2 linked regions of the Tribolium castaneum genome follow. The protein of the gene in region 1 interacts with the protein of each later gene in a pairwise test. Links are inferred from orthologs where the notes say so. Each region holds a gene or a part of one and is shown on either strand. Other genes may lie near its edges.

Region 1 (3,657 bases):
CGAATTGTTAGAATAATTTTATCGGTTCCATAATTTCTATAGAAACACCAATCACGGCATCTCTACCTTAGCAACTATCCAATTGATAAAATTTATCTAACGATATATCGTTCTAGAAACCAGGGGTTAGACTCGGTTACAAATTTTTAAAATAAAGTATAAACTTACCTATGAGGACATAATTCAACTTAGAAACAATACCCAATTGTAAAAAAAAACATTTTGTTGATTACTTTTCACAAAAATTCAATTTCAAATTTTGCGTTCACGCGCTTATTGGAACATCTCCGCTTCAGACGTAGTGAGTATAGTTCTACTTTAAAAAACGTTTTTACAACTTATCACCTACCTCTTTCAAGACAGCAAGTGTAACAAAATGCAATTGATTTCTCTTTCTTCAATCAGTTTTATGTAATTATATACTATAATACAGTATTTAATAAAAGAGTTGCTATATACTACATGAAATTTTTTTTTCGCTTGTGAAAAAATTTAAAGTAAAATTTTAATCATCAAAAACTATAACCTTTTTCTTATAATTTTTGTGATCTGTAACTGTAATCTGTAAATAATTAAAATTTAAAAGCAGTCCATGTTCTGACATTTCCCAACATTTAGTTTTATTTACTTGCCAAGTTTTTCTGTTTTGTTTACTAGTTATTGTAATTTTTATTAAATGCAATATTATGTTCAGAATATACTGTGGTATATTATTTTTTTTTACATTACAATTACCGATATACTTATAAAAAAATATGTTTTAAATTTACTTTCTGTCTTCTTCAGTAACAAGGTATTGTTTGTCCTTCATTCAGTTGTTAAAAGCTCGTTGATCTCTAACTTATGGTAACAAAACAATTTTTCGAAAAAACAACAGATGGCGCCGAATAAAATAAGCTACTCACCGGCCAAATGGAGCGGAGTGGAATTTCTCCCTTGCACATCGCGACAATTGATATTTTCCGCGGTAATCAACCGTTGAATCCTCGCCAAATTCCCCTTTTTGGCGGCATCCAACAATGCTGCATTCCCTCGCAACAAATCGGCAACATCTTGATCACCCTCTCGCACCAAATCAAGAGCCGTAGCTCCATCTCGGTTTTTCTTCGTGGGATCAGCACCATGTTTCAACAACAATTTCACAATCTCGTATTTACCTTTCGCTGAAGCCTCGTGTAACGGTGTAAACTTCCACAAATCGGCAACGTTTACATTAGCTCCATGTTTGACTAATAATTCGGTCACTTCGTAGTGACCGTAGGAGCAAGCGTTGTGTAAAGGCACTAAACCGCTACAAAACCCTAATTTTATACCAACATTGAGTGAGAAAAAACGGTTCCAACCCTTTATCTTTCGCATGTACGTCGGCTCCTTGCTCGAGGAGATACTCGACAACGGCTACTCGGTTATAACCGGACGCGAAATGGAGGGGAGTCGAATGACGACCGTCCAAATCGCGACAGTTAACCGTGTTGGGGTACGTTTCTAGTAGTCTTTGAACCTGTTCAAGATCGCCGGATTTCGCAGCTTCCAACACTTGGCATTCGACATCGCCGTTAACGGCTGGAGGATCTTGTAAAAAAAATTATAAATTTATCAATTCTGTGACTCTAATGATGTTAAGTTGGCAAAAGTTGTCAGAACATACGGTACCTTGGAACAGTTTTTGGGCGTTTTCGCCGGCTAATTGCGCCGCTGTGTAGCCCTGTAGCGAGACAATTGAGGGATCGACGTTGTAGGACAGTAAAAGTCGGCAAGCTTGGACGTTATCATCTTTGGTACATCTGTGCAAGGCAGTTTGTCCTAATCCGTCCAAAGCATTGACTTTAGCACCGTGTCTTAGTAGCACCTCCATGAGATCAAGATGCGAATTATCAGCAGCCAGATGAAGCGGTGTCAGAAAATCTTTATTTTTCTCATTCAAATGAATTCCTTTACGAATCAACAATTCGATTATTTGTTTACGCTTCGGATAGGGCGAATTCACGGCTACATGTAGCGCCGTATCACCGGTATATGGATGTTTAAAATTGACTACTTCGGATGTGAGGAACTTTTTTAGTTTGGTGGTGTCGGCTTGTTTGCAAGCATCCAGTAATTGATGTCCACGATACTCACCTACAATATAAATGTTCAAATTTTTGTGTAACAATTATTAGAATTGACTGACATGAGAGTCGTTCTTGTAATTCTCGAGTCGGTGCTACATCGATTGCCGATTTCGAATGACAATTGAGCTGAGTTGGATCCGCACCTTCGCTCAGTAATAACGAACACACTTCAAGGCGTGATTTTGAAGCCGCTTCGTGTAAGGGTGTAAAAGCCCAGAGATCGTTGGCGTTGACGTTAGCACCATGTTTAATTAGCATTTCGGTCACTTCGAAGTGGCCGTATGAACACGCGTTGTGTAGAGGGACGAGGCCGCTGGAAAAAGCGGAAAGAAAGCGGTAACATCGACTGTTATACAATAACTTTCGAAACGATGACGACTGGATAATTGTTTCATTAATCATTACCGTGTCTATTATCACACAGAATTAAAAGTTTTTTAAGTAGTTTTAATATTTACACAAGTGAGTGCAGCGTCCAAAAAATATTCTCAAAATTCGGTTAATAAAAAACACGTTTTTCTTATTGTTTCAAACAGTTGCCAAAAAAATCTACTATTTGTATCTTGGGTTAAAGTCCTTTCTAACCCGCTTTAGGAATTTTGATTACTAAATAATAGAAAAAAGCTAACATAAAACCATTATTGGGTGATTTCGTGAAATAAATACACTCAAAAACGTGTCAAAAACGTGTTAAAAACGCTCAAAAAAAATTTCATTTTTGTTCCAATTTATTTGTTTTAGAGAAATTTGGTAAAACAACTAAGTCTGATGAAAATTAAAAATTCTTTACAAATAATTGCTAAATAATTGCATATCTGATTAAAAGACGTGCTAGAATGTAAAAAAAAAATAAACTCGAAAAAACAAACACAATATCATTTTAGACCTAATTCAAGATTGTTTTGGCAAAAAGATCATTAACTCAAAACTCAAACAAATACTTAAAAAAAAAAACGAGATCTAACACTATTTTCGATCCAATTTGGCGAATTTTTGTCAACTTATTTTTGACTAAATTTTGTCAAATGATTGATTATGATTAATGAGCCTGATTAAAAAAAATACATAAAAAAGCATGATGAGTGCATTACCAGTTTAGTAATTTATCAGCTTGGCTTAGCAACATTTGGCTTAAAAACGTGCAGCAACGCACAAAACAATAATAATGTCATTTGCTAGGATCATTTGTGTCATAATCGATTTTTTTGACTCGGTTAGTCGTCTAGGCCCGGTTTAATAAAATTTCACAAAAGAAAATACCTCAAAAAATGCAAAAAAGGCAAGTGGGTCCATTATCAAACAAATTTTGCGTTTTTTGAGCGTATTCGTAACAAAATTTCATTAAATAATGAAGTTGCTCATTTAAAAAATGTGCCAAAATACTAGAAACACTACTTCTTTTTCATATTAGATTTCTTTTAGCTTATTATGGTCCAAATTTTGGGGTTGAATGCCCCCCCCCCCAGAACATAAACACAATGATTTTAGTAGTAGTAATAAGACAAAAAAATACATTTTCGAGACAGTCAGTGTAAACATTCGACTT
Region 2 (3,031 bases), on another chromosome or scaffold:
TGTGAGCGGCCTCCGGAGCGAAAGACTGGTCCGAATGTTACGTCAGAGAAAAGTTTCGCCACTCAATGACCAAATGTTACAAATTGTTGATGAAAAAATCCTCGAAGAGGAGGTCAAAGGCAGGTGAATATCAACACAAAACACTCACGTGTTACATTTCTTTTCCTACTTGCTTACACCACAGATAGGACAGTTAGGGAAATAGATAAGTGAGTAGTTTTCCACGTTTGAAATTCGTGTTTTTACAAATTTGTACAAAACTTTACGTTGTTTAGACCCCCCGAACGTGCACCCCCTGCTCCCAAAACCATCCAACCGAAAAAAGTCAAAGAACAAGGTCTTGAATATTTCCTCGTCAATCTCGATCCAAAAATATTGGAAAGTCAAAAACATAATAAACTCACACGTCTTCTAAACAAGTACAGAGACAGGAAACTCAAATGGGAACGACGCGAAGAAGAGGTAATTAACTGAGAGTTTGTCTTGCCTTACAAGGCAGGGAAAAGACACGTCTTAACTTACAATCACCAATTTATTTCTTTACATAAACATATCGTCATAACCGGGCGGTGGGAACTCGTCATTATCGGGCCGATTATTCGGCCGTCTGGGAAACCTATCGACGTCAGGTGGTCGAAACGGGTCAAATCTTGCCCCTGGGGGTACAGCACCTGGGGGCATTCCCAGCCCTGGTCCTTGTGGATATCTCCCACCTCTGGGCGGCTCAAAAAGCATGCCACCACCGCCCATAGGTGCCGGAAAAGCCAAAGGATTCCGTCCGAAAGGATTCAAATCGTATTCGCCCACTCCCACAGGCCCCGCACGTGGCATAGGGTCCACAAATAGCGGCGAAACTTGTGGCGGAGAAGTCGGAGGCGGGTTGGAAACAGCCGGTGTTTGGCTCGAATTGTCTTTGGTGTTTTTCGAAACAACGATTTTATCAATCAGTTCGGTTTTAATCTGTTGGAGGATGTCCGAGTGTTTGGGGAGGATCTGAGATAGGGTTCCTGTGCGACTTGCCACCAGGGCCGTATTGAGTTGGATGAGAGAGGTGGTGCGTTCGTCGACACGGATCAAGTTAAGCATTAGGCCTTCGTCAACTTTGGTTGCTTTGAGGAGGTAAAGCCGGCCCTGGTGGACGTAACGAATTGAATACGATTCGGTCCAACCTGGTGGTAGGGCTTCAGTTTTTGTTTCGGAACCATCGAGGATTTTAGATTCGCCCAAACCGATGCATTTAAAGTCGTTCGAGATGAGCACCAAGTGCGTGAAACAGAGGAGGATGTCTTCGTTGGTTTTTATCTCGGACTCGACGCTTTTCAGCAAAAGGTCCCAACCGAACAGAGGACTCGACATTTTGCACGTTTTAACCGAGTTTAACACTCGCACTTGACGATTTCAAACTGTTAGAAATGATGACAAACAAATTGTTTTGCAATAAGGTTATGTTTATGTTTTTTGACAGGTCATTACCTAACCGGAGGACATGATCATTGCGATTATTTCCATTTTTTTCGATTTTTTACCTTCAGTTTTATTGGAAAAACATGGAATTCTAACATTAACCATTCATACTCAAATTAACTGGTTAATTATATTAGTTTTTTTTAATATTTTGGACCGTCCAACTGTTGCACAAGCAACAGGGCCGGCTTGAAATTTTCAAAAGGGCACACGATTTTTTTTTGTCTAATAGTGGGAAGAATTTCTTGCTAGAAAGCCCCTGCCGGGGGTGAATCACCCCGACGATGATGTTGCGTTAAAAGACGCCAAAGTCACAATCGGCAATTACAAGCTGAAATCGGATATAACATACAAGGCGTCCAAAAATCAGCGAGAAACAACAGTAAAAAAATACAAAGAGCTGCTTTTGTCGCGAGTTAAGGTGGCTCAATTGAATTTGAGCCAATTTTCGGTTAATTTCTTTTTTTAAGCAATCAAACACCAGGCACAATTTTAATGAAAAAGTCTGGGCTTTGCGCGAGGAAAAAATCGCGATTAGGGATGAACTACAAGTGTTGAACGAGAAATTGGACGAAATACATAAAGAAATTCCGGATGATTGTCGAAAAGAAGCTCCGATTGTTCGAGAACCGGAGGACTGCGAATTTCCCGAAAGGCATTTTGAAATTACCGTGACTATGGTAATGGAAGAGGAGGAATATGATGAAGGGAGTAGGAAAGAACCGGTAATTGTGACCGAATCGAAAGATTTCGATGCAATTGAAAAACATGTTTTGCCGAAAAATACCAAAAAATTTGACGCGAAAGAATGCGATGTTGCACTGCTTGATTTCGAATCATTGTGTAGTTTTTCCAAAAACGAGAAAAAAGACACTTTGTGGGAACACGATATTCGCACGCGGAGACTTCAAAGGAAGCTTTTCGAGCAAGACGTGATTATTGATGAAATGAACCGAAAAATCACCGATTTTGATGATAAAGTCGAAAAGTTGAACACTGAAAGATTCCAAGCCGAGGTGGACGCAAAAATCATTGATATTTTTATGGTGACAGTGCACCAAGAACTGCTCATTCTGAAGGAATTTGAAGCTTTGGAGTACACACTTCAGTCGAAAGTTAATCAGAAAATGTCCGAAGTTTTAGATATGAGAGACATTATCGACGAGATCAGCTCGAAAATCGTCGAACATAATTCCGACATCGAGAAGGCACAAGAGAAGATTAAATCGATAACAGTCAGTTTCACAAATGCGGTTCAAGATAACAAGTTTTTTGATTTTTTGAGGAAAGTGTTTCGGAAAAAATACAAACCGCCAAAAGTGCACAAGGATGATGGTGAGATTGATGAAAATCTACAAGTTTTAAAACGTAAGTATTTTTACAGAATCGAGCTCCGAATCATCATCATCGTCAACGTCATCGACGGAATCTGACGATGATGGCAAAAGTATCGACTCGCGGGATTTCGGGATTATAAAACAGGACTTGAACGTTTGTCCTAAAGGGTGTGACCCTAGCGTTTACGAATATACGATCAATTCGCGTTCGGAGAGGTAACAAAAAATTT

Evidence for each region.
Region 2: the proteins of Tnks (region 1) and proteasome inhibitor PI31 subunit interact in binary tests that used the Drosophila melanogaster proteins (3 or more experiments, as listed by UniProt). The link is inferred for Tribolium castaneum from reciprocal best matches to the Drosophila melanogaster genes Tnks and PI31.

The regions. Positions count from the first base shown.
Region 1 is NC_087397.1:12,006,090-12,009,746, forward strand, and holds part of Tnks (poly [ADP-ribose] polymerase tankyrase), read right to left. Parts: intron 2,425-3,657; coding exon 2,171-2,424; intron 2,119-2,170; coding exon 1,654-2,118; intron 1,573-1,653; coding exon 1,344-1,572; intron 1,292-1,343; coding exon 906-1,291; intron 1-905. UniProt on the Drosophila melanogaster protein: Stimulates proteasome activity, probably by ADP-ribosylation of PI31. Modulates 26S proteasome assembly.
Region 2 is NC_087402.1:1,007,564-1,010,594, forward strand, and holds proteasome inhibitor PI31 subunit, read right to left. Parts: upstream 1,657-3,031; 5' UTR 1,357-1,656; coding exon 541-1,356; 3' UTR 514-540; downstream 1-513. Other genes in the region: cilia- and flagella-associated protein 44, read left to right, coding at 1-123, 189-209, 276-462, 1,697-1,885, 1,935-2,799, 2,849-3,017.